Linked DNA regions of Diceros bicornis minor. The protein of the gene in region 1 interacts with the protein of each later gene in a biochemical or structural test. Links are inferred from orthologs where the notes say so. Each region holds a gene or a part of one and is shown in the gene's direction. Other genes may lie near its edges.

Evidence for each region.
Region 2: the proteins of SIAH2 (region 1) and EGLN3 form a complex in vitro, tested with the Homo sapiens proteins (2 studies listed by BioGRID). The link is inferred for Diceros bicornis minor from reciprocal best matches to the Homo sapiens genes SIAH2 and EGLN3.

The regions. Positions count from the first base shown.
Region 1 is NC_080741.1:4,375,893-4,392,294, forward strand, and holds the start of SIAH2 (E3 ubiquitin-protein ligase SIAH2), read left to right. Parts: upstream 1-9,104; 5' UTR 9,105-9,434; coding exon 9,435-9,851; intron 9,852-16,402. UniProt on the Homo sapiens protein: E3 ubiquitin-protein ligase that mediates ubiquitination and subsequent proteasomal degradation of target proteins.
Region 2 is NC_080744.1:15,198,399-15,214,694, forward strand, and holds the start of EGLN3 (prolyl hydroxylase EGLN3), read left to right. Parts: upstream 1-9,140; 5' UTR 9,141-9,457; coding exon 9,458-9,814; intron 9,815-16,296. UniProt on the Homo sapiens protein: Prolyl hydroxylase that mediates hydroxylation of proline residues in target proteins, such as PKM, TELO2, ATF4 and HIF1A. Target proteins are preferentially recognized via a LXXLAP motif.

The DNA.
Region 1 (16,402 bases):
TGACTACTCAGGGCACAACGATCAGCACGTGCGTCAGCACGTTTCCTTGGTCCCTGATTGAGCCCTTCAGCAGACACAACATGGCTCAGATGGATGCTCTGCACACAGTGGGTTTGCATCACAGCTGAGGAACACTGAGCTTGGGAAATCCATCACTTTTCCAGCAAGCAATAAGGAAGCCTGCTCTCTGTCCTGGCGGCAGACCTCACCTCACCTTTCAAGAGTGTTTGCTGCAAACAACTATGAGAAATGGCCCAGTCAAAAGTGGTCAGGTCGGTTCTTAGCATACCCAGCAAGATGTACAGGAGTGAGAGGGACCCATGGAGGACTGTCTCTCTTAACAATTATTCAATGATGTAACTGACAAATTCCAGAGATAACTCTATAGCTTCAGGCACAGCTGCATCAAGTAGCTCACATAATGCATTTACGCCTCTCTCTATTTCCCAGTTCTTTTCTCTGCTGTGTTGGCATTACTTTGAGACAGACTCTTTTATGTGGTACAACATCTCCCATTGGCCTGGCTTGGGTCACTTCCCTTTCCTGATCTGTCACCAGGGGGTAGACTGCATTTAGTTGGCCAAGGTCAGAGCAGCTTTCTACAGTTGGGCAGGTTATGCAGTACACAAAGCACCACATGTAAGGAGGCACCACTCATACCAGATATCATAGCTCTGTATACGAATTACAACAATTTCCAGCAGATGGAAGTAAAGTGTCCGAGGAAGGTGCTGTATGGGTAGCCCTGGCCAGGGCCATGTGTCCATCCCCCAGCTGGCAGGTGGGACCAATCCTATCCAAACCACACAGAGTGGTCCCTCACAGTGACACCAAGGAGCATTTATCAGGAGTGGGGACGGATGCTGGGCAGATGCAACAACAGATGCCCACTACAGGCCAGTACGAGCATTCCTATTTTCTAGATGAGGATATTGAGATTCTGCACTTAGGAAGCCTACCCAAGTCACATAAATTACACAGAGAGGCAGACTCAGATCCAGGTGTGTCTGATTCCAGAACACACTCAGTTTCCATTTAACCATCCCAACTCCTTGTCCTTAATGAGGCAAAGCTAAGCTCATTTGGTGTTTAAATCCCTCCGATGAATGTTCCCACTCTACCCACCTAATCTCAACTCCCATCACTCAAAATTGAACCTACCCTGAGAATGACAGTCTTTACTGCCCTCACTCATTCCTGCTGGGAACTGATGATCCTTCTATCCTTATTTGAAGTAACCATTCTCTCCAAAACTCAAAGCCTTACCCTTCCTTAAAGACAAGATCAACACTTCCATCGTAAATTCCAAGTTTTTTCTGTAAAATCAAAGATTTCACTTTTGTTTGAAGTAACCTCAACTCACCACTCAATTTTCCCAATGGGGCTTAAGAGCTGAGAAGCCAGAGGTCATGTCTTTCCTTACAACACATAATAGACAAGTTTTGGAGCATCAGGGCAGCCCCAAACTCCCCTTCTCAGAATCCTTTCCACGTCCAACAACGGTGGGCAACCAGCAGCCATGTTTGCACTGAGGGAGCCAGCTGGCTTGGCTTTAGCTGATTAGACTGAGAACGATCAGCTGACCTAAGCTGGGCCAATCAGATTCTCTCTCCTGAGACCTGGGCTTGAAGCTGAGATCTGGCAGAGCCCCATCCCTCAGGGAGGGAGCTGGAATAGAGAGGACCATAAACTTGAGATGTGTGGCTGACTACATTTGATCCTGGGCTCTGGGATGCAGTGAGAGCCAGTTTGCAGAGAGAGGAAGGAAAATAGACTATGAGGAAGAATTGGAGAGCACAAGTCGCCTCTTCCTGGAGGCTTTCTGGTTCCTGATTCCAATGTCAAGGTCTGTTAGCACTGCTGCCCCCTGTTCTCCACGTGAGGCCCCCTGGATTAGTCTGAAATAAGTTCCATCTTCCGCAAGCAAAAGGGCCTAGAGAGACCTAACCCAAGGCAGGTATAGGGGCCCTTTAACGGCAGCCATGTGTCCTGGAAGCCCTTTGTCTGGGCTACACACCAGCCCTCATGATGATAACTGTCCTGGCCTCGGCCAACCCAGCTCCTTCTCTGGGATACCTAGCACAAAGACCTACAGGGTCTGAGGGAACACAGAGGTCCTCTGGGGGGGCTCTGGTCCTTGGAATGCAGGTCATACAGGGACCATCCCCCTTGGCAAGCACACAGTCTTTGTTCCTCTGCCTACTTAAGCAAGCTTCTCTCAGGGGGCGGGGTCAGGTGCACACTTCTGTCCAGCCAGCCACCACTGCCCTCCCTGTAAGTAACTCCCAATAAACCTACACGTCTCATTCACCCTCTCCAGGTCTTTTCTTCGGTCTCTCTGCAGCCTATCCCATACTGCTTGCCCAGCTGGGCTTGTGGCCAAACAGCAGGGCACAGAGGAAGCGCTTACTTTTACACTTGGTAAATGCAACAATAAGGTAAACGGTTTACATGTACTCATTATACCGTATCCAGCAGTTCGCTTGCCAGAGTTACTTATTTTGTACTTTAGAGGTGGCAGAAGAGGTGCTGGAGGAGGGAGGCTGGGGACAGGGTGGCAGAGTCCCCAGGTGACTGAGGCAGGGCAGCAGGGATGGCATGGAGGGGCAGGGTGTGAGACACTGCAGGGACAGAACTAGGTCAAGCCAGTGGGAGGGAGAAGGGAGGATGGCTTCCTGATTCCCAGCCAGGCAAACAGGCGCATAATAGGACCACTCACCAAGTCCAAGGAAGCGGAAGGGGAGGAGCAGGTCTGCGGGGAAGTGGCGGGAACTGGGGAGAAAGGTACAAGCACAGGCTTTTCCACCTGTTCTGAATTTCTGTAGCACAGACAGCTGGAGAAGCCAATTTTAAAGATCACCTGCTTTCCATTATGGAGTCAGAGTCTCCTTTTTATTATCATCTCTCTTCTCAGATTCAATGACAGCCTGTTATTGGATTTTTAACCTGACAAAATTGATGTTGAAGAGGAGGAATGTATTATTTGAGGCCTCAGGTGACATCAACTTTGCTGGTTCTCAGTGATCCACATTCTGTGTTGGGCCCTACATAGATGAAGATCTGGGGGATCCTAGATGAGGCCTAGGGACTCGGGGCGGGGAGAGGGCAATGAGGAGAGTACTCAGGACCCCCCTTCTGCCTTTCCTCACTTTGCGCTGAGGACTAAAGGTTGTTTGTCCCGCTCAGGGAGAGATCTAAGAATAAACAGTCCTGGGAGAGAGGCCTGGCAGGCAGCTCTACCTCAGCAGCTAGTTCAGAGGGAGGAGAGCAGGGGTCTGATTTGGGAGTGCACAAGGTCAAGAAGACAGGACTCCTGGGTAGATAACAGCTGTAAGAGCCCCGTGCCTTCCTGTGTACTGCCCCTCCCCCATCGTGTACACTGCCCCTCCCCCTCGTGTGCACTACCCCTCCCCTGTGTGCACTGCCCCCACTTCCTGTGTACTGCCCCTGCCCCTCCCCCCCAGTGCATTCCTTACCCCGCTTTGCTTGGCACACTCCTACTCTTGCTTCAAGACCCAACTCAAAGAATGTCTCGTTTTCTTAACATCTTCCTCTTACTTGTCCAGGAAGCACTCTCTTCCCAACTCTATTATGGCATTTATCACACGGTATTAGATTTTCAAAAGGATTTCTGGCAGGACAGCCGAGTGGTTAAGAGCACAGACACCAGAGCTAAAACTGCCTGGATCCAAATCCGGGTTCTGCCAGTATCATCTGTGACCTGGGACAAGGGATTAAACCTCCAAGATTCTTCCTTTCTTCACCTATAAAATCGGACAATAGTACATGCCTCTTGTAAGGATTAGATGTGCTTAAAAGGGTGTCTGACAGGTAGTAAGCACTGTGTAAGAGCGAGCTCTCGTTAACATTATTCCCCCTCTGGGCTACTAACTCCCCAACAAGTCAAGCCTGGGTTTGATTTGACCCGTGACCTCCAGACGTGACGTACTGACCGCATAAATCTTTGTACTTGGTCAGTGACCAATGGCCACAACTGCCGGGCTCACAGCCCACTCACTTCTGCCCCAGGACTGAATTTCCACTCCTCCCAGGAAGCCCTCCTGCTGCGCCAGGCACCCCCCACCCCGGCCTGTCTCTTTCCTTCTCTCCAGGCTCTACCTACACACCGCCTTTGAGTTCCTCTTATTAAAATACCGATTTCAGTAAGTCACCTCCCAGGCCCAAAGACCTGACAGAAGCTCTTGGTCTCTTCATGGTAGTGCCAGGACCACCTCTGCTGGCTGGCTGGCTGATCCTCCATGTGTCATTCATTTGGCACCAACCCTACAGCTAAATAAATCCCACACTAAAATAACCCCAGAAAGCCAAGGACAACACTTTTTTTTTTTAATTTACACAGAAACACATGAATAAATTCTCATTGCAGAAAAAGAAAAAGAAGACAAAAGGGAAAACGAACTATAGAAATATAGAAAATACAAAGCAAAAGCTCCCCACATCCAGTCATACTCCCCCCGGAAACCAGCACTGTCATCAGTTCACTGTCTCCTTCCAGACCTTTCTATGCCCTCTTTAGCACGTAAAGAAATAGGAGTTTTGTTTTGCGTGGTTCTTTTTACAAAAATGGGATTGTTTGGGGGTTTCTGCATTGCATCTTGCTTTTTCCATATAGCAGTTTGTCTTCGAGACCTTTTCCAAGTTGCAGAGTATTTTGTAGGAGGCCTTTACATACTTCATTTTCCTGTTGATAGACATTGAGGTTGTTTCCAAAATAAATGATGGTTTCATTTTAGCACATCTTCCATCACATGAAATTATCATTTTAAAATTATGAATTAGTATCAAAATAAGAAATAAAAACATGAATTCTGGATTTTTTGGTATTCCAATTTCTTTTGTTTTTATAGCTACATACAATAATCATAAAATTTTTTTCCTAGATTGTTTCTATAAAGTAGCATTATAATAAAAATAATTTAAGAGAAAAAGTAGAGGGTCTATACTTTGCATTTCTTTTTACATACAAGCTTTTGATCTTGGACAAGTGTATTAGTTAAATATTGCTGTGTAACAAATTACCCCCAAACTTAGGGGCTTAAAACAGCAAACATGTATTATCTCACAGTTTCTGTGTGTCACCACAGCTGGGTCCTCTGGCTCAGGGTCTCACAAGGGCAATCAAACTGTCAGCCAGGCCTGGGGTCTTGGCTGGATGTTGGCCAGAGACATCAGTTCCCTGCCATGTGGGCCTTTTCACAGGGCTGCTCACAGTGAGGCAGCCAGCTTCACCCTCTGAGGGCTGAGAGAGGGACAGGCAGAGAGAGAGCTAGTCTTAGTCTTATTGTAACCTGATCTGGAAAGTGACATTCTATCTCTGTGGCTGTATTCAGTTCATTTAAGGGAGTCAGTCCAGCTGTCACACAGGGAGCAGAGACTGGGGGCAGGGATCCTCGCAGCCATCTTAGAGGCTACTTACTACAGCTAACTTGGCCTGTCCCTCAGTTTTGTCATCTGTAAAGATTTACCTTATAAGAGACATTGTGAGGACTAAAAGAATTAAAATATGTAAAGTGCTTAGAAGAGTACCTGGCACAGAGGGAGCACTAGAGAAATAGTCGCTAAGTGCAGATACAAAAATAACACAAATGTATATACCTATTCCGTGCGATACAGTCCTATCTCCATGGTGATTATTCAAGAAACACTTGCTTACATGACCCATAGTTATTCAAAGGAAGTTTGAGCATGTGGAAATCACCCCTGAAACGAAAGTACGTGGTAAAGGTAAAAGTTCCTACCATAATTACCAGGGGCCCCCACAGTCGCTTCTAAATTTCCCACAAGCTTTCCCCATATCAGAATTTCCACGCAGCAAGCTTCAGTGCGCTCCTGAGTCATGTCCAAATCTAAAGAGAAAAAGCTGACCACACTCTGCTCTGAAAATGCACACCACTCGCCTGATTGCAGAAGTTGCCCAACGTGCAAAACCACACAATCTGCAAGTTACAGAAAGGGCGAGAGCGTGTCTGCCTGGCTGGGACGTTCTGCATCATGCTCAGCAGTTCAGGTGAGAGGAGGGGCTCACCTGTGGGCTGTGTGACAAGACTCACCCTGACATTTTAAGGAAAGAAAGGTTACTCAATCCACCCCACTAAGTCTTCAAAGGGTAGTACAGAGGGGGAGATGGGTTAAGGAGAGGAGTCCTGCTTTGCACGTGTCCTTCTTGTGCCATCTGTGGGTGGGGGGAGGAGGCCCACCTGTCATGCAGCAGATGCGGTAAATGAGTCACGAATCAGGAGAAACACAGGCTGGACCCCGCCCCCCTCCCCAGGCAACAAAGTCACCCATTAAACACAAGCCCAGCCACAGCAGCCACTCCCAAGGGCAAATAAACCTCGCACAACTCTGCACCCATGCCCCTGACAGAGATGCTCCGGCTGACGTGCCCAAGGTGCAAACAGCCGCCTTTCTCTGATGCAAAAGCCCCAGGGAGGAGGAAGGACTGGAAAGGCCAGCCCGGCAGCCTGGAGAGGTCACCAGCAGGTCTGTCCACCTACCTTCAGCAGCTGCCCAGAGGAGTGTTGGTTTTTTAAATTATCCCGGTCGACTTAATCAGGAGTGCAATGATGTGGAGGAGGAAGCCAGGAGAAATTTCTCCACACCACGGGGGGCATTTGCCAAGGTAAGAGTGGATGGCTTAGTTGTATTTTTAGAAAAAAACAAATTCTCTCCACAGAGGATTGCTTTTCCTGGTCTTTGTTTCAACACATCTGAAACCAAATTGCTCTTTGAACAACCAAGGCCCAGCTGGTGGGGAACACTGAACGCTCATGTCAACAGGGCAAGGGTGGGGGCCGGCTTCTCCAGTGAGAGCTAGTAAGCCCTGGGAACACGAGGGGCACCTGCACTGAGAGGCCAGAGGTGGAGGGAAAGAAAATCAATTCTGGTAATTAATTCCACTTGCTTGGGTTTTAAATTAAAAGTGGAAAATGTTATCTCCAATAAAAGTGAAACTGTGGGTGATTTTTTTCTGTTGTCACTATCATGTTCTTAAAGCTAGAAAAAGGTAAAAATGGAATAAATAGAATATGACTTAATTATTTTCCTCTCCAGACCAGCTAAGGAAAGAATTAACGTGAAGTTGTCCACAAAATTCAGTGCTTGCTTACAGGCTGTGCAACTGTGTTCTGACTGTGGAGGGCACTAATCTTGAAGCCTTAACCAGCCTGTAAGGTGCGGTCAGGCCTGACTGAAAGGGATAGAGACTAGGAGTTGAAGGAGGGTGCGGAGCATTTTCCAACATTATCAGCTGTGTAATCTTGAGCAAATTAATCTCCCTGTGTCTTAGTTTCCTCAACTACAATATGGAGATGATAACAATAATATCCATCCTGTAAGCTTGTTGCAAAGTGCTTAGAACCACCCACACCCGGCACAGAGTGAACACTCAATAAATATTAGTTAGCATTTTGTATTCCTCCAGAGCACCCTTCTAAAAACTCAGATTCAGCCATGCCACAGCGCTTTTCAAAAACCTACAGTGGGGAACCCTTGTCATTGAGGTAACAATCTTATCAGTCCAATTGAGGCTCCCATGTGCCCCCCACCCCCCAAGTCCCAGCGCACCCGGATGCCTTCTCTCACCGTGCTTTCTCTCCTGCTACAACGTCACCTCCCCCCCCCCCCCCCATGCATCTGAAATCCTCTCCCGTGAGTGTCTGGACATGACGCTGCTCCCTTACGAGAACGGAAACTGCAGCAGAACCATTCTCAGACCCAAACAGCGGCTGGTGCAGAACAAATGCTGGGGAAACATGTCCCGATTGATGGAATGACGTCACCTCTATTAATTATTTTCAAGATTTAGATCAAATTCCACCAATTCCATGCATGTAGTCTTTCCAGATAACATTTATAAGATTAAACTTGATTTCTTCTGGGCTCTAAGAGCATATTTCTTGGACAGATTTTATTCACTAATACTCATTAATATTAAACATTCACTAATAATATTTCTTAAAAATAACAGCTAACGTTTAAGCAGTGCTTATGATGAGCCAGGTTCTCGGCATTTATCAAACCCATTTAATGCTCACTACCCACCTATAAAAATAGGTAGTTTTTATCCCACCCTTACAGATGCGCAAACTGAGGCGCAGAGAAATTAACGAAGTTGCCCAAAGTCACAGAGATGGTAAGCGGAGGGCACCGTTCTTCACCCAGTCCCGACTGTTCCCTTCCACCGTCTCTCCTACAAAGTATCATCCGATTCCCTCTAGGTACCCCCTTCCCCAATTCCAGTGTCAGTGGCTCAAAGTATGTAGAAAAGCAATTTAACTGGCAGCACACAGTACACATTAAATAAACATGTGGTTCGCTCTGGGCTGTCACCCCCCTCGGGCGTCCGCTAGGGTGCAGGGCGAGCGCCGACACCTCGCATCAAAGCCTCGGACTTCGGCGGTATCTCAAAGGCGAGGACGCAGCCCGTTGTGCTGGAGAGTCATCCACTGTCTTCCCGGGCCTCACGACCCAGCCCACGTTTCTGGCATTCCTAGGTGATCTCGCACGCTCCTTTTGGCAGACGCTGTCCGTGAACTCCCTCCCGGGCCTGCTCTGCAAGTCAGAGGCGCTCAACTCAACGAAGCCTTCGGCAGGTCCGCTGAAAAAGGAATCAAGCGTTTGCCCCCTCCCGCCCTGGGGAGCAGGACCAAGGGGTGGCCTGAACCCACCCTGAACAGCGCGACACACGGTCCCGTGCCCGCTCCGCCCACAGCCCCGCGTCCTGACGCCGCGTCCCAGACCACGAGCCGCTGGCCGGTGACTCACCCCAGGCGGAGACCTCGGGCTCTTTCCGACCCGTCGGGGCGCCCGCGTCCCGCCCCGCCCCCGTGCCAGTCCCCGCCCCGCCCGAAGTCGCCCTTGTGGTTGGCGCCCGGGGCCGCGTCGGCGTGGCTCCTGGGGTGTGGCCGGGGACTCGGGCGACGCCTCCGCGAGGGGCGGCCCCGCCCCGCCCCGGAAAAGCCGCCCGCGCGCCCGCGCCCACCGGGCATGCTCACTGGCGCGGCCGGCCGGGCCCGAGGCAGCGCCGGCGCGAGGCGGTCCCCGCGTCCCCCGCCGGAGCCGCGCCCAGCGCAGGGCGGCTCTGCCGGTGCCCGCGCCCGGCGGCCGCACACGTGTCCCCGCGTCACGTCCGCGCGCGCCCCCGGGGCTTGCGTCAGCGGCCGCTCCAGAAGCGGCTGGGCCGGGGCTCTGCGCTGCGCTCGGGGTCGGGCGCGGAGGGGCGCGGGCACGCGGGGGCCCGAGAGCGGCGGCGCGGCCAGCCCCCCCGCCCTGCGCGCCGTCCCGGCCGCCGTCCCGGGCTGGGCGCGGTGGCGTGGCCCCGGAGCCCGGCGCCCGCGGGGCGCGCGCAGCCCTGACCCCGGCGGCCCCGCGGCAGGCAGGCGCCCGCAGTTCCATGGTGGGTTCGGAGCGCGATGAGCCGCCCGTCCTCCACCGGCCCCAGCGCTAACAAACCCTGCAGCAAGCCGCCGCCGCCGCAGCCCCAGCACGCCCCGTCCCCGGCTGCGCCCCCGGCCGCCGCCACCATCTCGGCTGCGGGCCCCGGCTCGTCCGCGGTGCCCGCCGCGGCGGCGGTGATCTCGGGCCCCGGCGGCGGCGGCGGCGCTGGCCCGGTGTCCCCGCAGCACCACGAGCTGACCTCGCTCTTCGAGTGCCCGGTCTGCTTTGACTATGTCCTGCCCCCCATCCTGCAGTGCCAGGCCGGGCACCTGGTGTGTAACCAATGCCGCCAGAAGTTGAGCTGCTGCCCGACGTGCAGGGGCGCCCTGACGCCCAGCATCAGGAACCTGGCTATGGAGAAGGTGGCCTCGGCGGTCCTGTTCCCCTGCAAGGTAAGGCCAGATGCCCTCGGCGCACCTCCGCCCGGTCACCTCCCGGAACTCCCGTGTCTTCCAGCCCACTCGCGGGCGCGGAGAGGCAGGTGGCATCTCTCTTGTTAAAAAAAAAAAAAAATGCGTACACTTTGTCTACCCTCCCCCATGCCCACCTGTGCACTTTGGGAGTGGCCCTGGACTGACAGTTGCCCGGGCGCTGACCCCAGACTAGTTGGCACGCGCTCGTGGTTAGGGCACATCGCGGCTCTCCCGCGCGGTGCCCGCGTCGTCTGCAGACGTGTACTCGGGTGTGCTCGGTGGGGCTGGCCGCACAAGTACAACTTGGACCGGGAAGCTGACTCTCTACAGGGTATTGAGGAAAGAGGAAATGGGCAAGTAAACGCGCCCTTTACCAGCACTGGGCTTGGAAGGATTGGTAGTGGATTCCTCCTGCCCCCCGCGCCTGCCGTCTGCGCGCCCCTGACACGTGGGGGCCCTCGGGAGTGTAGCTAAAAAAAGGGCGCCCTACAGCCTGTTTTTCTCCAGCAACAAGAAAACCCTGCAAGCCACGCCTTTCCTTCTCCTAGCTTTCCAAGGACTGAGGAGTTGTGTTTTCTTACTAAGTGGGGTGAAAACAAGAGTTGATCAGGAATTTAACAGGAAGGGCACACAGGAGCTGTTGTACAGTTCCTTGAAGCCCATCACTTTATTTTTTATTTAGTTTAAAAAGTTCTTGATGCTCTTGCAAAAAATGCAAACTACTAAGACAAGAAAAGTGAAGTGAAAGACCAAGACCTCTTGCCTCCTTTCCTACCATTGTTAGGTTTAGTGTGTATCTTCATAGACTTTTTCTAGCTATGTGTAAATATACTCTCACAGCTGAGTATAGAATCGTAGATGTCAGTGTGTGTCTGGAAGGTTTATATATACACAGGCATAGATGTAAGTTTCTCCTCCAAAAATGGCTTCTGCAGCTTACTGTTTTAGATTCATATTATCACACCTATTTTTCTATGTCTGAAACCTAGCTCTACTTCATTGTATCTTAAATGGCTGCAGAGTATTGCATCGTGTGGTCATATTATAACATCGTTTCCCTCTATCTATCACTTAACTTCAGGAGCAGTTTCAGAGACATACCTGTCTAGATTACCTCTTATAACCTAGGGTTATACCATGAAGTTTGTTTTCTAAACTTAGAAATGGGAATAATGTCATTAATACTTCAGAGTTTTGTTGTAGAAGGAGCTGCTATGCCTCTTGGGCCGTTTAGGCTGTCCTGCATTTCTCCTTGGTGCTGCTAATTTTTATAGGGCAAGAGCTTATTTTTAAATTAAAAATAATGCACCAGAGAATTGAGCTGGGGACTCAAGTCAGTAAAATGAGTGATTTAATTTGGTCTGTGCCCTGCCACCCATCAGTTTTAAAATAGCATATTCAAATAAGGGTTTGACTCTGTGTTTGGGCTCTGGGTTTCAGTCAGCCTTAATCAATGACTCTGCCTTCAACCAGTCCTCATCTAATGCTTACTAATTCACCCAGCCCAGGAGTTGTTTCTCGTAAAATTTAGACAAATATTTCCATAATTTTCTTAGGGTCATGAAGAAGGTGGCAGCCTGTTGATCAAGAGAAGATTGGTGATAGTGGACATAAGAGTGGATATTTGGTGTTTGAGATATATTGTGGGAGTTGGGGGATGGGGAGATGCCCCACAGGATTTCTGGGGAGCCATCTTCTCAGCCCTTCACTTCCCCCCAAACCTTCAGTGGCCCAGAGAAGAAATGGCTTTAGATGAATTACAGTTCACAAATGAGCATTCGATATCAGTCAGTATTCCATGACTTATTTTTAAAAAGCCATCTCGTAAGAGCATTCTGTTGCTCCCGAGAGAGGGAAGGAAGCAGTTATAATATGCTATGTGCAGTGTGAAGTTTCACCTTCAGGATCTGGATTCTGGTTCCTATTGTAGCGTATGTTCTTTCCTAACGTGTAACATGCTAGTGACGTCTCTCTTGAAGAATAGTTCTCTTGGGAGTCAGGGGTACCCAGTGTTTCTGTACATATCGGTGATTGCCCAAGACCCTATTCTGTAAGGGTGCAGTTGGGCGAAGCTGTCATTTTGCAAGCTGAAATTAAACAGATCAACCATTCCCCTGCAGACCAGGAACCAAGAAAGTGATCGTGGGGTCCTTTTGTGTGTATGCATGTGTGTGCGAGTTATAAAGCTGAAATATGCATGTCCCGACTTTGATTGGCCAGTAATCCAAACTGTGGAGAGGGCAGCTCAGCCAATTAGTTTGGATAAATCAAACTTGGATGTATTCAGAGGCCCAGCAAGCAACCAAGGTATGTTAGTTGGGGAGGATGAGAGCATACTAAGGCCTATGTCAGCTTCAACAAAGTAGGTCTGTGTAGCTGGCCCTTTGGCCTGCACTTGCTCCTGGAGATCACAGGGACTGCCCTGTCACTGCCCCTCCCTGCCCTCAGATCTGTCTCATGGGCTGGCTTACGTGAGAAAACCAGTGTTGGGTAGAGTACCAGTGCCCAGGTCTCCATTGCTTGCCTGGGGGACCACCTCTGGGGGCCTGGACTTCCTCATCTGTAAATGAGGGAGTCGGACTGCTCGACCTCCAAGAACCTGTAGCTTCTAGCATTCCATGAAAAGTAGGGCAGCTCTGTGGAATGCTTATGGGATGCTCTCTGTGGGCCAGCCACTTCGTGTGGGTCATCTGTTATTAGATTGCCTTTCTTCTTTGCAGGTTAGGAAACAAATGCCTGTGGAGAGGTTAAGTGTTGAGTGACTTGTAAGGGTCACACAATGGCCGGTCCATGACCTGCACCCCAAAGGTACACATCACACCTTTGTACTACTATGTGGGGATTTTGAGTCTGAGCTCATACTCCAAGGCTCCAAATCATAACTGAAGGTTGACACCAGTGACAGAACCATCTGACTGATGAAGTCACCAGATGGGCCTCTGATGGGAAAATCCCAATGAGACAACATATATGTTCACTATAAAGTTCATTGGTGGGAATTTTTAGGGCATTTGGAGTGGGAAGATTGGGGGGAAATAGCCTACAAACCTAATATTTGGGAGGATTTCATCACAGCTCTGAACTGCTCATGATTCACTTGGCCACAAAGTGGCCGTGTTGCCAAATAGCTTCCTTACACAGGTGTGGGGCCCCTTCACTAAAGGCAAGAGTGCTGCCAGCTCCTCTGACAGAAGGCACTGCATGCACTATTAGCCTAGGTCTCCTTTTAAAAAAAAAAGGTCTCTATCAGAGCGTGGCTGTCTTCCACTTGTGGTATTTTTAGTCCATTTTGCAGCTTGTTGCATGCCTGAGGAGTTTGACATCCTGTCCCCATATCTCAAACCCACCACCTCAGTGGAGCATGGGTGTAGAGGAGAAGGGAAGGTTGACACATGTGGCCCCACCAACCAGTGTATTTTAACATCTGCCAAGTACTTCTTTCCGCAACGGTGGGAAATGCTGACCCACTCCAGCCCACTTACACTACAATACATTTTCTTTCCGTTCTTTCTTTGTCTTCTCTACAAGTTTCTAGTAGCATATCTCCAAATAATTACTGAACTGGAAAGCCTCAGTCAGACAACTCTTCCCCGCAGTGGGATTGTGACAGAGCTGTTTCTGTTCCTTAATAAAAAAAAGTCAAGTCAGATAACCCAGTTGAAAGTTAAAAGCTCCTCAGTGTGCACTCATCTTGTCCAGGGCAGACGACTCTGAACACCAGCGGGGCCAGGTGTGCAGGGAGCGAGGCCTCTGACACGTGGCCTTGGGCTTCAGGAGCCCTCGTGGAGCCGTGGAGACGGCTGGGAGCTAGAGACTGCGTGCTGCCTCCAAGAGGGCAGCTTCTGCTCAGCTCTGGCTGACTGGCAGGGGCGGGAGGGAATGTGGATGTGGCCATGCCAGACCTTTGGATTTTTTCAAGAAAAGTCATAAATCTTGATTTTTAAAATGTTAAATATCTCAATTTTTTCTTACTTTTTTTTTTAACATTGGCCAAATTCAGATTTAAAGCCAGCACTTGCAGGCCAAACCGACCATGTCTGCAGGCCAAATTCCAGCTGCCACTGTGCAGCCTCTGATCTGGTTCTCCTGTAGGGAGCATTTACTGAGGGGAAGCTCTCATTTAACTCTTACCATACATGAACCCTGGACTCTGAGAGGTCACAACTGTAGGTGATTTCAGAGCTCATGTTGTTTTCATCTTTATTTTGCTGACAGAATATTCCTTCCTGGCCATTGGGAGATCTGAACTGTTGTCCTGTGACTAGATGTTTGACTTCGTACACGTCAGTTTATTTCTTTGCATCTGAATGTCTTTATCTTTAAGAGAAAGAGTTGGGGGCCGGCCCCGTGGTTTAGTGGTTAAGTGCACGCGCTCCGCTGCTGGCGGCCCGGGTTCGGATCCCGGGTGTGCACCGACGTACCACTTCTCCGGCCATGCTGAGGCCGAGTCCCACATACAGCAACTAGAAGGATGTGCAGCTATGACATACAACTATCTACTGGGGCTTTGGGGGAAAAAGTAAATAAATAAAAAGTTTTAAAAAAAAAAGAGAGAAAGAGTTGGGCTCAGTGATTAAGTGATTATACCAAGGATCCTTTTTGCTCTGAGATTGCAGAATCTAGAAAGCTGTCCCAGGGGAAAGAGCACAAGGCAGGAGACAGAACGGGGTCCCCCCCGAGCCTGATCATCGGTTAAAAAGAGTGGAGACAACACTCAGCTGGTGGGCGCTCCGAGATCAGAGTGGAAGTGCTGCAGAGGGCTTTTGCTTCACCAGATCAGATGGAAGGTGGGTGGTATTAGGGTGGTTGCTAGGTGATGGGTGATCAATCACCTAGAAGTCTGAAGGGATGAGCTGATTTACCAAAACCATTTCAAAGATCTCTTCTTAACCTCAAAAATCCTCCTAAGACACAAATCATTTACTTTGGAAATTGTCCCCGTGGTCTTCACTCCTGGCTGAAGTTGAGAAGGTTGTCTCATAAAAGCTGTGCTGGCAGAGCCCATGTACACGGACGGTGAGGCTTGAGATTGTCAAGACTGAAACTGACAATACAGCTTTTGAGTGTAAAATTAAGAACAGAAGCACCGGAATGCCAGGGAGGGGGACTAAAGTTTAATGCTGACTCTACGCGTAGTTGGCCAAAGATTTTTCACAGGTTACCACGGCCTGGAACTGGAGTAAATCATTGTTACTTAAAGTTGATCTTTAGTACAACCAATGGAGGCAAACCGAAAGGTACAGCAGGTCTGGCCTATAAAGTCCCCAGTCTGGATTGGTTAGATTCTCCCGTTCTGCATTAAAGCCCCTTGAAGCCCCATATAAAGTGCTATATACATAGGACTATGGTGAGACCTCATGTGAAATGTCCTAAGAGCCAGACTTGCACATCTGACAAAACTTGTGAACAATGGCATTTCTCATTCAAACCCATCAGGTCCCCACTCTTTGAAAGGGGCACATAGTAGGTATGCATTTGCTAAAGCGAATACCGGCATGTATATTGCTGGTAAGTCGTGCAGAGCATGATCATACATGGGGCATTCGAATGTGATTCTGCTCTGGACATCCTGAAAAGGAAAATAAGAAAGCCAAAACATTTTCCTGATCAAATGTATCTTTATATTAAACCTTAGCATGTACTTTCTAAGGCTTAGGAGAGATACTGAAAATTCTTTAGCAGAATTTCATCAACTTTGCCCCAGATGCCCATCTTTCTCCATTTGTTTCTTAAAAATTGGGAAATTGTCATTCTCATTTCCAGTTGGATAGAGATTTTACGTAATGATTTTTAGACTATACGGTGTCTGTGAGATAAAAGGTGACCCCCTCCCGGTTTTCAGCAACAGACACTGTGGAGGTGGGTGGAAGATGTACCTGTGTGAAATGCATGGGCCTGGGCCCAATCTCACAACTTTGAATCCACAAAGGTAGTGTCTTTGGGTCAGTCCTCCCCCAGGTTACCTCCTCCTCGGGTTGTGTTGAGGGCAGGCCCTACTCGAGCCTCCTGGTCCAGGTCCCCATCTTTCCCCACTGGGACTGGCTGGTGACCTCTCCAGGCCTCAGTGGCTCATTGGTCAAATGGGGAGATGATTGGGTTGTTGTGAGGATCAGACTCATTATTAATTCATGCAGAATGCCACGCACAACCCAGCACAGTATACACTAAGTAAATGTCACAGTTAGAAGCTGACAGCACCTGGCCAGTGTCTGAGGTCAAGTCCAGGCATAAACTTTAAGAAGAAAAACAGGAGTCTTCCTAATTTTCTTCCGTAGATTCTCACCCTGAGGCTCTCTTCGCTACTCCTGATCATGGAGAGTTCCATCGAGCCAGCAGAGGTGGCCCTGGCATTGGTTTCCAGTGATGAGACATATTTTCATTTCTTTAATGCTTTTAGAAGGAAAGCCAGTTGGATTACACAGCATTTTTTAATGTGTGTATTTTATTTTACACATTATAAAAAATATTTTTAAAGTTATGATCATTAGTTTTAAATGTAGAAAGTAATAAAAAATTAAAATTTCCTATTA
Region 2 (16,296 bases), on another chromosome or scaffold:
AAGTGCTCGCACTCCGCTACTGATGGCCTGGGGTTCGGATCCCGGGCACGCACTTACGCACCGTTTGTCTGGCCATGCTGAGGCGGCGTCCCACAGACAGCAACTGGAAGGCTGTGCAACTATGACATACAACTATCTACTGGGGCTTTGGGGAGAAAAGGGGAAAAAGAAAAAAAGGAGGAGGATTGGCAATGGACTTAATTCAATTTAGGTAAAATCAAATTTGTCAACCGAAGACTTGGGACCAAATCAAATTTGGTAGAACATTTTGCTACTACCTCATGGGAAGATTTTTCAGCTCTTTGTCTTTTATCAATTTGGTCTGTTTTTCCAAAATGTTTACTTTTTTCTTTCTACTTTTTAGATTTTAATTAACTTTTGGCTTATTCTCTAGGGAAACATAAACATCCAACAATAAAAAATTTATCAAAAACATCAGATTTCCTTGAGTTCTGTGCACGAATACAGAAACAGTGAAATATGCAGTGCATTCATTCAGTGTATAGTGAACATCTGATTTATGTCAGGCACTGTTCTGGGCACAGGAAATACACATGAACATGTCCCTGCCCTCAGACTTCTGGGAGAGATAGGTGTAGAGCAGATTCAAACAAAAAAAAGAGTCAAGTTTTGATAGGCACCATGAAGGAAATAAACAAGGAGCTGAGATAGCCAACGTCCACTTTTGCTAGGGGGATAAGAGAGGCCTTTTGAAGAAATAACATGTAGGAAATGATGAGAAGAAGCTACCTTTATGAAGCATGGGGAAAGTGTATTCGAAGGTGAAGAGACTACACATGCAATGTCACGTAGGTAGGAGACAGCAAGGTTTGTTTCAAAAACTGAAAGAAAAATGGTGTGACCGGATCACAGCGAGTGAAGAAGACAAGACACAATGATGAGTTTCGTAGGCCACGTTAATGAGTATGGATTTTATTTTAAGTGCAGAGGTTTCACAAAGAAGAGTGATGCCATCTTATTTACGTCTAAGGATGACTGCTCTGGCTTCTGTGTAGAGAATGGATTGATGTGGGGCAAGTGTAAAAGCAGGGAGACCTGAGAGAAGGCTGCTGCAGTAATCCACATGGGAAATGAGGGCGGTCTGGCCTGGTGGTGGCGGTGGAGACAGGGAGAAGAATCGAGAGGAGTTGCTGGGAAATTCGATGTAAGAACTGAGACTATGTAGGTGTATAGATCAGTGCCCAGCTGGGAAAATAGAAATCATTCTGGGTATTCAAACAGAGAGAATTTAATCTAAGGAATCAGTTACAAAAGTGTTGGAAAGATTGGAGGAACAGAAAGGGGAAGGTGTGGTAACCTAGAGATAAGCATCTGCAGGAAGTCAGGACCACTCCTAAGGCTGGAGAAAGAAAAGGGAGGTGGTGATATTATCAGGGCCCAGGAGTGTCTGGCATCTGACACTGTGGGAAGCTGCTGATGCTGTTGGAACTGGCCACTGCCCCAACCATTCGTGCTGTTGCTAGAACTGCTTCAGGTTACTGGAGCCCACAGATGCTGGTCGCTGCCACTGCCAGAAGCTTAAAAAAAAAAAGGGGGTCTCTCCCTCATTTCATCCCGTTTCCCACCAGTGCTTCCCACTGGCAGCATCTAACTGGGCCAGCTGGCAATGAAGTCTGGGAAATGCAATTCAGAGGATTCCAGCCACCTCCAACAGAGCAGTGCACTTAATGGCTGGAATGGTACTTAGCGCCAACAAGCCAATAACCAGCACATGGAAGAATTAAAGATTTGTTTTAAGTAGGAAAAACAATCCCATATCCTTTGAAATATATATTTTTTCTTTCTTTTTGCAAAAGCAATATGTTCCCATTGGGGAAAAATTAGAAAATACAAACAATAGAACATAAAAAACTTCCATATTCCCAGTTACCCAGAAACAATCATTACTAACATCTTGGTCTCTGTCTCTTTCTCTCTCAAAACAAGACTCTTACTCTACATTTGGTCCTATAGCCCACTGTACTAAATTTACGCAATAAACATTTGCTGGACATTTACTTGGTTACAATTAGCTCCCAGTGTGGAATATTTATGTTCTACCAACATTTTCCTACTATAAATATAAAAAAGGAATTGTCGCCTGAAAACGAATTTGCAATTTAAGAAAACAGTTATGAAGAATACAATTGTAACCTCCAATTTGACTATTATAAGATTATTTGCTTAGGTAGAAAGAGAAAACTAATTATTTTACACATAAGGTAAAATGCCAGGTCTTTTCTTTATCTTTCCTTATCGTTCATTTCCTTTGTTGGGGAGAAGAACGCTCTCAGCAATTTCAGAGCTGGAAATGTGCAGACTGGACCTGGGGAGGGGCTTTAGCCACAGACTGAGCTAGAACTGTCCCGCTGCCCCGTCTGTCTGGTCTCCGTGGAGTCAGACTTCTGAGGAGGAAGCTGGTCCCCTGGAGTGTGCAGAAGAGGTGACCCTGAGACAAGGCTCTTTAAGGGTAGACGCTATTTCTTATGGCTACAGGGCGGCCGTTTCTCTGCTGTTACGTTAGAACGCTTTGGACTACTAGTAGCTGAAAACCGTAACTTAAACTGGCTTTAAAAATTAGGAAATTTATTTTCTCACATAACTGGAAGTCCAGAGGCAGGACAGGCTCCTGGAAGAGTAAGATAAGCTGCTCAATGATGTCACCAAGGTCCCAAGTCCTTTCAACACTGTTCCGCCTTCCTCAGGGTTGGCTTCATTCTGAGACTGGCTCCCTTCGTGGTGACTAGATGGCCGCCAGAGGCCACAGAGCTGCCTGTTTCCTTTCTCCACGTCCAGCAGGAAAGAAAAATAGAGAGATCTCTCCCTTCAATATAAATTCTTCTTTATAGTTCGAGCAGACCAGTGGTTTTCAATACTGCTACACATTAAAATCACCAAGAGCACTTTATTAATTATTTATTTTATGGCTATTATTTCATTCTCATTTTATTAATTTATTATTTCTTGATGATGATGGTGTATTATTTATTATTTGCTGTTTTATTTTTTAAACTGCTGATACCTAGGCCTTATCGCTAGAAATGTTAATCTGTTAGTCTAGGGTGGGGCCCAGCTGGAGACAGTTTTTAGAAGCTCCCAAGTGATTCTAATGTACAGCCAGGGTGAATTAGGCTGGTTTAGGTCACCCGCCTATCCCTAGACTCATCGGCACCAGGGTAACACCATGAACTGATTGGCTTAGAAAAGCAGATCTCAAAATGTGACCCTTAACCAGCAGAAGCAGCTCCTGGGAACCACTGAGTTGGAAACTCTGGGGGTGGGGCCCAGCAAGTTGTGTTTTACCAAGCTTGCCAGGAGGTTCTGATGGATGCTAACGTTTGAGACCCACTGACTTAGACCAATCAGGCTCCTCTCTGGAGCTAGGGAGGAGGTAAATATGTGAACAGGAGCGAGGCCTGTTAGTACAGTGAAGCCCAGGGCACTGGAGCCATTAGCACCCCCACCCTCGCAGCGGCGGGCTGGAAGGGGAGAGGTCTGCGACCTGAACCCCAGAGACCCCAGGCTGTACAGAGAGAGCCTCCCAATGGTGCCACCAAGCCTCAGCCACCTCAATGGGCCGTTAGGATGGGAAGAAGGTGTCCACTCCTTCCTACCCTGGGAAATCTCTGGAAGTTTCTGTAGGAGCTAAAGGACTGAAAAGATTGATTTGGTATACACTTTCCTGAAAACATTGTGAAGTAATTTCAACCACTGTACAGTTTCAACAGGATCTTGGAAAAGAAAAAGGACATTAGGTAAAAACAAAGGAAATCTGAACACAGTAAGGACTTTAGTTAATGATAAAACATATCAATATTAGTTCATAAATCGTGACAAATGTACCATACTAATATCAGATGCCAACAGGGGACATTGAGTGTGGGGCATACGGGAACTCTGTATAAATCTTCACAACTTTCTTGTAACTCTAAAACTGTTCCAAAATAAAACGGTTATTTTTAATACGTTAAGATGTGAAATTCTAATGAATGGAAACACCTTTGGAAACAGCTTTATAAAATTAAGCATAAAAGATTCTTTAAAATACTCTATATTAGTAATCCCACCAATTGTTTTAGGAAATCCTCCAGGTAAATTTATTAAAGATAAGAGTTCATTCACCTGAGCAAATAGCCCATTTACCAAACAAGTTTGCTTATCAAGACTTTCCCAGAAGATTCTGTGCAGTCCCGATTAGCTCCCATCTTGAGGGACCAGATTTAAATTGAAAAAAAAAAAAAAAACCCAAAACCCTCCATATTAACATAAATTTGACACTGCTATATTTTTATGCTCGATGTCATGTTTTTAGCCAGAGAAAATACTTTTTAGACATTTTCAGCTTTAACAAGAGTTGAATTGGAAAATATTAATGAAGATCCCTGATATGTCACACTCCCTAGAATCTGTACACGGCCAGAATTATCAAAGAGCACATGAGAGAGGCTTAAACTTGCGCATATGCTTAGAAATAATTAAGAACTGATATAAAATGTCGCTTTCTCTTCATCCCCTTATCCCTGGAAAGGAGTAGGAATGCTGGACTCCGCAGGGAATGGGACATAATCAGATGCATCTTTCTCTAAACCCAATTCATAGCCGTGAGCTCAGGCATGAATTCCCTTCAGTATTCTCCTGTTTCACCAGCTCTATTTAAATTAAATGCACTTCCTTTGTCTTGAGGGGTGAGCCACAAAACCCAGTGGACTGAGGTGTGGCTTGTTACCAACAACTACTCTCAACAGGCTGTCCTTCACTGGATTTATGTGGGATTCCTGGGAACACTGGGCCATAATTGGAATGGAGCAAGGAGCAAATTCTAATTTGTAGTTTGGAAGATTACTCTTAATATAGTCAACTAAATAATTGATGCTAAGTTTGCTCATCTCCCTCTTGCACCAAGTATCAGTAAGGAAACCAATAATTAAAATTGTCATTGCAGGTGAGAGTGTTGTAATTAAAACTTATAACAAAAAAAGAGTACTTAAGGGCAAAAACATTGCCATGCCAAGCAAGTGGCTCAAAATGACTTTTTTCCCCTGATCTTACTACACTGGAATCTCTCAGATTTTGTCCAGCATTGTTGTACTCTCTAACTGTGTGACCTTGGATGAGTTCCGCAGCCTCTCCGTACCTCATTTTTGTCATCTTCACAATGGGGAATAATAATAGTGCCTATTTCTTAGCAGTGTTATAAGAATTGATAGAAGTAAGGTTTGTAACACTTTTAGCACAATGCCTGGAATATGGTGTTACAAAAGTGTTTGATAAATCAATAGATAAGATAGCCCTTGCCCATATTAAAGTCATTCAATGTAATGATAAACCTCTTGATGATATAGCATGGCAAAAACACAAAAAAGAATATTCAGGTGCCAGCTAGCAGGGAGGGAACCTTGGGCATGGCGGGATGTTGAAGAATCAGAAGAAATGTAGACAGTTTTCATCAGAAATAAAACAAGGATGTGATGGGACCCTCCCATATTATTGGTGGGAATGTAAAACGGTGCAGCTGTTGTGGAAAACAGTTTGGCGGCTCCTCAAAAAGTTAAACATAGAGTTACCATACAACCCAGCAATTCTACTCCTAGGTATACACCCAAAATAATTGAAAGCAGGTACTCAACTACTTACACGCACCTGCTCAGAACAGCACTATTCACAATAACCTAAATGTGGAAACAACCCAAATGTCCATCAGCTTATGAATGGATAAATGTAGTACATCCCTACAACGGAATATTATTCAGCCATACAAAAGAACAAAGTACTGATACATGGTACAACATAGATGAACCTGGAAACGTTATACTAAGTGAAAAGCTCACATAGCCTATGATTCCACTTATAGGGAATATCCAGAATAGGTAAATCCACAGAGACTGAAAGCAGATTGGTGGTTAAGGGGGCTGGGGAATTGGGGAGTAACTGCTTAATGGGCGCAGGGTTTTCTTTTGGAGTGGCAAAAACGTTTTGAGACTAGAGAGTGGCCGTGGTCGCACAACATTGTGAATGTACTAAATGCCACTGAATTGTTCACTTTAAAAGGGTTCGTTTTATGTTTTGTGCATTTTACCTCATTAAAAAAATGCATACACGAATAGGACTTTGTTCTAGTTGAGAAGACAAGCATTCCAGGCTGCCTCTTCCACTCATCAGAGACTCCTTACTTAGGAAAGCTACCTAATGTCCAGCCCCTCTGGGCCCCGGTTTCCTCATCTGTAGAAAAATGACGTTGGACTAGGTGACCACTAGGATCCCTTTCAGTTCAAATTCCAAGGCAAAGAAATTCAGCACCCTTCTTTCTCCCTGTCTCGTCACAAGCTTGAAAGTGACCGCATCTGTACTGCAGATATACGCTGGGAGACAATGTTGCTGTAATTCAATTACAGGGAAATTAATTTGTTTTAGTTATTAATATGAAAAGTATTTTAATATTCCTTATTATAATGACACAAATTACTGGACAAATAACTAAAACAAATGCACTTTAACAATTAGCTTGGGGGTTTTGCCACTCTGATGCTGAGACTCAGAGCCCCTGCACGGCTCCAGCTAGTCTGTGCCCCTCCGTGTCATCACATGCTGTGCTTTTGCCAGTCACCGTATCTCAGGCTCCTCTGCCAACGGCGGTGCTGGCAGCCCCAAGTTGACTTGGAGGCCCTTGATTGATGAATAGGTGCTCTTGCCAAGCAGGGATGGCAGCAAGGGACTGAATACCCTTCTAAACTACCCACACTTTGCAACCAAAGTAATCTAGAACAGCTTAAGCTATCAGTCACTAGAACCTGCTTATAGACCATTGTTTTAGTTCTAGTTCTAGACTAGTTAGAACTTTAAAATCACTGAAATATTATTTGAATAGTAAGCCAAGTTTACTCAGCCCTGGATTTAAAAGTCCTGGGTCAACACATTCATTCCGGGAGGTGAGGATGTCATTTTCTGCATTTTACTCACCGCCACCTCACCTGCTACTGTAGATTTCTGGTCCTCTGTAAATTCCCTCCTAATTTTTCCTAGGAGTGTCAGGTGTATCTACAAAGAAGCTTCAGCTAGAAACATTTCAGCCAGCTACCCAGGTTTATCTGTTATTTCCCTCCTTCCCCCCTAATTCCGGCCCTCTTCAGGGATGTCTCCTTCTGAGGTCTACAACAGTCCCCAAAGCCGCGAAAACCAAGCCACTGCCTACCCGGGCCCACTTTCAGGCTGCCTCAGACCACGCTTCTCCTGGTCAGGCCGTTATCTAAAGCGGCCAAAGTGGTTCCCGGCTATGAGGGGTTCAAGCAGAAGTTCAACCCCAAAAGGAGCTCCTCCTTTTTGGTATCACATCTCCATTTCACTCCTTGCTGCAAATGAAGAGTCCAGCAGCTTTCACCTCCTGCTCCTAGCACTCAGCATCCACCACGGCTGGATCCGAGACAAAGCCAAGAGACAAATACCCTGCAGGGCACCTAGCTGCCCCCTTCACTGGCCTTTGACGTTTTGTCCCGGGCCAGGCTAATCTGCCAGACACCCTCTTCTCAGTGAATTCTCTCTGGGGCGTTTCCCCCAGCCCTTCATGCAAATCGACTCTTCCTATGGACGAGCCCAGACATGCCTGGGTCACATGTGGAGGTTGCTGGGGCTCAGGGTCAGACACCAGGTTCCCAGCAACTATTTATTAAGACCTAGTAGGTGCTGGGCGCTGGGGGTCCAAGGATGATGGGCTCCAGTCATCATGGGACAGGAGCTGTGGGAATTGAGACGACGGTTCATTGAGGTTAGCCAAGTCCCTAGTTGGTGCACCTCCTGCAGAGAGGTCATACCAATGGTGCCAACTAATCACCATCTTGGCAGAGAACATCCTCTCACTATAACTAGAAGTTGCACCAAAGTTTCTTACTGACCCCTCTTCCTGAACATTCCTCAGGTTCCTATGCAACCGCGGGCCTCTGTCTGCTTCTTTCTATCATGCGGCAGCAGAGTCCTCTCCTATCCCACTCTTTGCCCTTGGTCAGGTCTTCCCCCCATCTCTCCTTTCCTATTTCTTCCCTCAGATGCAGAGAGGAGAGGGCGGTGTGAAAGAGAATAAAAGTGCAAGAGCTGTCGGGGTTTGTGTCCAAAATAAACAATACCTGTAAAACCTGTCCGTTCTTTTGTTCAACTTAAATGAAGAAGCTGAGTGCAAACTAATGTAAAATTAAACATATATAAATGGCTTTGCATGCAATTTGTGAATCTCTTTTTCCTGATTCTGATCTCAGGTGTTCCATAGGAAAGGGAATAAAAAAATCATAAAGCAGTCAGCTTATCTTTGGATAACTAAAAAGTCTCCTAGGTGGTATCCATCCCTCCCAGGTAAGTGCAGCTTCTTGTGGGAAAAGGGAGATGAGAGACCTAAAATAGAGTCTACCTTTTGGGGGACACACCTATACTGGCTGTTACAGGAGCATGGGATTAATTTTGAAGGCACACTTTTAGAACATCGTATTTTAGTAAGAAACTCGAAAGATAAGCGGATGAAAACGTCCTGGAAAGCAAAACACAGTGTTTTCAGGGTTCCATCAGGTAAAATACCCAGCCTTTCTTCATTGTGCACATTACCCCCCCCACCCCCGCCCCCCGCGGAGGACATGGGGCCTTGCACTCCACGTAGTGGGGCTTAGAGAATGTTTGTTAATTTTGGTTAAAAGTGGGTTCCTCTCAATCTCTCAGTGGCTTGAACCTCCTGACCTGGGTCAAACAGCAGAGGAAAGGGAGTAAGGAAAGGCACCCGATAAAGCTAGGAGATCTCTGTTTAATATATATGTTTGTTCCCGGGTTTATTATTTTGTGACCAGCCCAGAATGTGGCAGTAAACTATGCTGTTAATTCTATTTACATTTTTAGAGTTGGGATCCAGGTTTTCAAGTTTGTTAAGGGATTTTATGCAAAACATATGCAAATCGATAGCATTCTAAAAATTCCGTCTGTTCTCCAGCCCCTCCCCTCGTCACAAACAGGCGAGGCAGGCGCCGGCCTCGCGGGGCTCCGCGCGGAGCGCTAGACCCGGCGGGGCTGACGGGCCGGGGGCAGGGCTGTCCCTGGGGCGGGCCCGGGGCGGAGCCTGGGCGGGGCCGGTGACGCGCCCAGTCGGCCGGCTCCGGGGCTGGACCTCAGCCTCTCCCCGACTCGGGCCGCCGCCGCGCTAGTGGTGGCTCCGCATCTCCAAAAGGGGCCCTCCGACTCCTCGCTGGGCCATTCCGGCGCCGGGTCGTGGAGCCCCGCGCAACTCCTCTGGTCCCTGAACGGGATCCCTCCTCCCCAGAGTTGCGAGCAACTTTCCTCTCTCCCTGTCGCTGCGGTGGCTCGGGGACCGTAGCCGCCGCAGGTAGCTGAACCCGGGCCACGGTCCCCGCGCCTCGGCTGCGCGCGCGCGTAGGTCGCTCTTTCTCTGGGTGCACGCTGGGGGACTGGCGCGCTCGGCTCTGCGGGCGAGATGCCCCTGGGACACATCATGAGGCTGGATCTGGAGAAAATCGCCCTGGAGTACATCGTGCCCTGTCTGCACGAGGTCGGCTTCTGCTACCTGGACAACTTCCTGGGCGAGGTGGTGGGCGACTGCGTCCTGGAGCGCGTCAAGCAGCTGCACTGCAGCGGGGCCCTGAGGGACGGCCAGCTGGCCGGGCCGCGCGCCGGCGTCTCCAAGCGGCACCTGCGGGGCGACCAGATCACGTGGATCGGGGGCAACGAGGAGGGCTGCGAGGCCATCAGCTTCCTCCTGTCCCTCATCGACAGGCTGGTCCTGTACTGCGGGAGCCGGCTGGGCAAATACTACGTCAAGGAAAGGTCCAAGGTAAGACGCGCACGGGCGCCCCGCTGCTGCTGCAGCCCGCGGGGACCAGGGACATTCGGTGTCGGTGGTCTGTCGCCTTCGCAGGGCTGAAAGCGAACTGTAGTTTTTAACCAAGAAGCAAGAAGTCAGTCTGATTCTCCCCTTTCCCATTCTCCTCTGAGCGAAAATCCATGCTAAGGGTCTCAGGTGTATAATTATAATGACCTTTTCTGTTAACTTTGAAATAATGGCTCTGGTGGGTGGTACAAGCCGGACAAGCGGCGACTTTTTGATCTGATTCTAAGACATGGAGGTTCTCAAAGGTCCAAACGACAAACAGGGTATTAGAAACACTGTGTATAATCTGAGACACACGTGCACTCATGATCTTAAATGTCTACTTAAGTCACCTAATATTGCCCTTTCATTGTGTTCAGAGCAGATGCCCACAAAAGCACTCTTAAAGAATTCTGGAGACAGTGTGATTTTGCAAAGTGGCATTTGGTTTGTGAAGTTTGGCAGGTGCAGAGGAGTTTGACCTGTGAAAGAGTCAAGCTCCTCTTCACTTTTGAGAGCTGCCCTTGGCTTGTTGCACCCGGGACACTATTAGATCATTTACTTGACTGTGAAAATTCTCTGCTGGTACTGAGCCCTACACCACCAACTTCGCTTTCCTAACTATCCGTTGATGGGAAAATCCACTCAAAACAGCCAGGTGAGTGATCAGGAGAGGGTGGTCAAGCACCTCGGGAAAGAAACTGTGTTTTTGTTCTCATCGCCAGAAGTGACTCCCTGGGTGGTAATTTATCTTGGAAACGTTTCCAGGTAGATTGGCAGAAATATGGGAACACGTAGTACCGTGATGTTGGTGCGTGTACATTACTTTGGCATAGTCGAGCTAATCGGTGTCTTTCTACAAATGATAATCCAGCCAGTTTTCCAGCGGCAATTCTGAGTGATTTGCGGACTGGTCACGGGGGCACTCAGAACTGTAGAAACTTTCACTTTAACACAGTGAGGCAAAACATACTAGCATGAGAAGGAAAGTGAGCAGTCACCTATGTACCCTTCTTTAACAATATTTGTGGTATTTCTCAATTTAAGATTGATCCTGGGATAAAACATACCATTGTTGTCTCATAAGCTGAGAGGAACGCTCTTTATTAAGTGCAATTGGTGAAGACTGGAAATGTGTAGAGATGAAGGGAGTGGGTGAGTGGAGTAGGGGAGAAATAGATTGCTGCACACCTTTCAAGCCAGGAGGACATGAATAGAATATCTGAAAGCATCGCTATTAATCAGACGCAAAGCAAGCAAATGTGAAAAGAAAATGCTGCTTTCTAAATTTTACTTTGATTTGGGGAAAATTCAGAGTTAGCTGGACTCTGTAAAAGATTGACGTTAAAGTGTTTCTTTACTCTTCTTCCATCATTTTGGTGGTGGATAAGAAAGCCTTTTGTCTCAATTAGTTTTATTTTGCATTAAATGACCTTGCCTGTCTTGAGGCGGGGCGGGGGAGGGGAATGACTAGCCTCAGTGTTGCAGAGGTGCTCAGAGCTTCCAACCCGGAAGAGCAGATGGCTTCTTATCAGTTTTTTAAAGTTTCTTTTAAACAAGTGGTAGGAATTCCACATCCCCCCCACCCCCCGCCAGCATTCTAGGAACAGAATTTGCTCTGAGGGAAGTCAGAGTGAATTGGTAGAAAGAGGTCACTAGTATTTGAAAGTTAAGTATTTTTATTGAGCTTTGACTTAATAGACAGTGGTAGGGTTTTGGGCTAGAGTTTAACTCCACAAATTGAATGAAAAGCACTGTGTACGTCTGGGAGGGAAGAAAAATGATCTGTAGATACGATTCTTCAATTATGGATTATCTTCCGGGTCAAACAAGTAACTTTTCAGTTAACCCTTTCAGAAGGTGACTGTAAATCGAAAAGAGAAAATTCATCTTTTGTCCACTGAAGAGACATCTGCCTATACCGAGATTTCCAGCTTTCCTTTGGTAGTTTTGGCACAGAGCTCTTCATTCCTGCCCTTTAGAAAGATCACCTCTAGATTGGGATATTCCCTGGCCAGCTAGAACCAAATGCAAACCAGGCTTGAGCAAACAATTATTGTAGTGAAAAATAAAAAGAGTTTGATTTGTTTGTATAGAGAAGTCTCCTTAATAATGTTTTGTGGCCTTAGGTCTCTTGTATGAAGTTTATTACTAAAGCATTGTAGAAACGCTTTCCAGATTTATATTAGTTTCACCCTAATTTAACCTTCTTATTTATTTCTCTTCCCTCAACTGAGTGCCTTGCTCTGTGCTGCTTGCCAGAGTAGTGATATAGACCTGGTTTTCTGCTGCATCCTTCAAGCAGGTTTTCAGTAAAAACTAATTTTAAAAGGCAGAATTTGTACGTTTATTTAAAAAATTTATTTGTAACTTCTTATTATGGAAACTTTCGAACATATGTAAATGTAGAGGGGCTGGTATAATGAACTTCCATCACCCATTTTCATGCACATTTATTTTAGACCAGTTGTTTTAAGGTACTTTAAATTTCTCGGGGTTATGCTTATTAATGTATTGATCCTAATTGAATATTTTTTTTCCTAGACTTTTAAATGTCATTGAATAATGTAATCATGCACTTTATCTCAAAGAAGCAAAGGCATTGGGAATAAAATAGGAATACACACTAGATCTAAAATTGAAATTGTGGAAGCTTATGGAAAGCAATATTAAAGTGTTCCCCCTTGCTGCCAAAAAAGTTGTTACTGGTCAGAGTTTATCTACCTCCACTTTGTTGGAGAAAAGTCCGAGGGTGCGGAAGCCCCTCTGGGGAAGTAGTTTCCTATAATGTACAGCAGTATGGCGCCCCCTAACTGCAAGCATGATCACTGCTTTCAGACTATTAAAAGATTTCTTATCTGTTAACTCCCTTTTGGAGAATTTAGACCGTATCCAAGATAAATATTGGTTATAATTTGCTCCTTTTGCTGTGGCTGCCTAGATCGGGAAAATGGCTGTTTTCCAGAGAACGTGTAATTTACAGAACCAAAAGTCCTTCTGCTTGAAGCATAGCACTGTAGACTAGCCAGTATTGTAACTCCAATAATACTAGCTACCTTTTCATAAGCGGTTTGCTCTGTCTGGAACTGTGCTAAGCACTTTGCAAACACTGTCTGTCTGACTTAGTCTTCAGAACCACAATCTTCAGCAAACTGAGTGATGAAATCATTTGCCCAAGGTCACAAAGTGGGTGTAAGAGGCAGTTTATAGGGGTTTAGGGGTTTGGGGTTACCAACCTTCTGGCCTTAGGTCAGTTGCTCAGTTTCACCAAGTGTAAAATGAGGGATAATAATACCTTCAAGCTTTTTAGGTGAAGGAGCATTAAATAAGATGATGTACACAAAATTCTTAGCAGAATTCTGAGCCTTCGTAAATGTTATGAGGCTGTAAGTGGGTGATTTGGGATGGAACCGAGTTCTGCCCGACTCCAGAGTTTGTGTTCTTGACTGTTATGCTCCTGCTTCTCATCCGTGCATGTATTCAGCAAGTGTTCACTCAGTGCAGGGCGCTGTGCAGGGGCTGGGGACACAAAGGTGAGCAGGCATGACCCCTGCCTCACGGAGCTCGCATACACACGTACTTTTGAATTGTAAGATCCTCTAGTTCACACTCGATTAATTCCGAGGCTTAACAAAGAAAAGGACAAAACCCAAACATTGAAGCGGGTCAGATAAGTACATTTGAGGAAGAAAACGGAGTGCTGTGCTAATGTTTTGCTACTGTTATTTGCAGGAAAAGTATTTGTTAACAAGGTTGGTTGTTAGGATCCCTGACTGGAGTGGTTCTGGACAATGGGGTGGTAGGGGCTGTATTGTGAACAGACAGGTGAGTCCTCCCCTGGAAACAATACAGAGACATGATGAAACAGCGGTAAGTTATGAAGAAAAGAAAATGTGTTGCGAAGCGGAGAGTTTGTTCCTTTGCCGTTTAGCAATAACAGGTTCAGCCCACCCTGGTCATGTGATGTCGGGAATATCCATTACTCAGTGGACCTTATCGTGGTTGCAAACTACTTCAAGCAAAAGTGGAATAATGTATTTGGAAGATCAGGATCTCCCTCAGACCCACGTGCAGGATATGCAATCTGGGTTCGCAGAAGGCTGGAGCAATGAACTGGGAACCAGAAAGTCCTTCCCATCCAGGACCCCTGGCGTGTTAGTTCTGCCTCTGGCCCCTTCTGGCCTCCCTCTGCTTCTTTGCCTGTGCTTCTCTGCTTTCCCTCCAGCTTTTGCTGTTTTCCATGCACGTGGCTCAAGGTGGCTGCCCCCACAGTGGCTGCTTCAGCCTCAGTTTGAGATTCACAGAGTCTTGATTAACATTCTAGAATCCCTGTTTTCACTCCCGGGGAGAAAGTATGATGGTCTCACCTTGGCTCAGGGGATCGATCAGTCTTGGTTGAGAGTGGGAGTGGGGCATGTAGAATCATGTCACAAATGTCGTTGCCGGGGCCTGTGAGAGGTGCAGTTCTAGAGCCCGGGGTTCTAAGAGTTTGAGGACTAGACACCATAAACGGTGTCTCCGCAATTCAAATCTTCAAAATCTGTCTGTGAATGAGGTATTTTAGGGGGAGGTGGCACTGAGTTTGAAGCACTGGAACATCTTTCTGTACGGATGTGAGGTTTATTCCTATAAAAGGTTTTGTATTTAAAAATAACTTAGCTCTTGGAGGAAGGAAATTAATCCAAGGAAATAATTTACAGAATGCAGCCTCGGTGACAGTGAAGCAAGTTTCTCCATTCGGTAACTTTTCACAGTGTTCTTTGTCTATTTTGTTGAATGATGCTTGGGAACAAAGAAAAGAAGGTGGGGGGTGTGTGTGTGTGTGTGTGTTTATAATTTCTTTTGTTCAATTTTGGGCCATTGGCCACTATAGGACAACCTTATCTCCTTGCAGTGAAGTGGGAAATCAGGAAATATCAATTTAATTTATTCATTCACAAGTCATTAAATGTCTTCCACCTCGCTGACCTGTACGTGAATGGGGGAAAGGAGATGGAATGTGATGATAAAACCATCTAAAGAATAAAGGGATTAAGAGGTACAAACTTCCAGTTATAAAATAAATAAGTCATGGGGATGTAATGTAGAGCATAGGGAATATAGTCAATAACACTGTCATAACTTTGTATGGCAACAGATGGTAACTAGTCTTAGCGTGGTGATCATTTTGTAATGTATATAAATATCGAATCAGTATGATGTGCACCTGAAACTAACATAGTATTGTATATTAGTTATACTTCACTTTAAAAAGAAAGCAAGCTGAAAGTTGAGTGGTATGAAACAGTTGTCACCGACATTGCTTTCTCTTTTTCTGGTTAAACAGTCTGATTTTACACTGATCAGTCATTTTTGTTTCTCTTCTTCTTTGGATTTTCTCCAGTTTCTCTATTTACTTAAAAATGAAGTTACCCAAATTATACAGGACTTTAATAATACAGGTTTTTAGAGCTGGAGAGGTATCAGAAATCACGTCTATCAGTCCCTCAATCATTCAGCAATGAAGTCATTTTTATGTTTGGAGAGACGAAGTCTCAAGAAGGGACAGGAGTGGGTCTTGGGCCTGAGCAAAGGTGCTTTAAAGAGAGGGGCTTCCCTGGCTGGGGTTGCTCTGTAAGTCAGGTAGACTGGGAGATGGGGGTGGTAGGTTAATTCAGCTGCATCAGCATTTTATTTGGGAATTTTAAATATAATTCTGACTTGAAATTGATAAACACCCTTAGGTGGAGTTATGTCACCTATCTGTGCATTCGACTTTTGGGGTGTTATGAATTATTTCCCTTTCTGACCTTACTCAGCTCAAGCAGAATTTGTATATTCTTCCCTGATTCCTGACTCTGGCTAGAAGAATTTCAAATTTTGTAAATAACAAGCAGCCTCACATGTTACAACTCCATTCTGAAAACGCACTGTGTATGGAAGACTTCTCCGATGAGCTTCAAGTTGGGGGTGGAGTTTAACCCATAATGAGCAGAGCACATCTGAGAAGCATCTCCGAGCACCCCAGCACCCTGCGTGTCAGGGTGAAGCTCAGGGCCCCTCGCCTGTGGGCCGTGTTTGCTGCTTTGGCAAGACCTCTGCTTTTGACTCATGTTTGCGGCCTCCAGTAAATTATGTGGCACTTTGACCACCAAGGAGCAGCTTGCAGGTCAGCACTATGGAGAAGGTTATTAATACTTTGTTAATTATGACAGCAACAGACTTGATGATTCCTTTGTAGCTGTTAACTAATATCGCTCTAAGAAATGGGTGTCATTTTTCTCTAGTGTTTGTCAAAGGTGCATGTTCTGACAGTAATGATAGTTCAGATGTATTCTGCTGGGCAGTTGCCAGGGGTGCCCCGAGGGTGGCCGAATCCAGAGGCACTGGAATTGTAAATGCGACAGACAAGTCATTTTATGATGCCAGATTAAGGAATTCGGCTTTGGCAGATGGCCAGGAGCCGT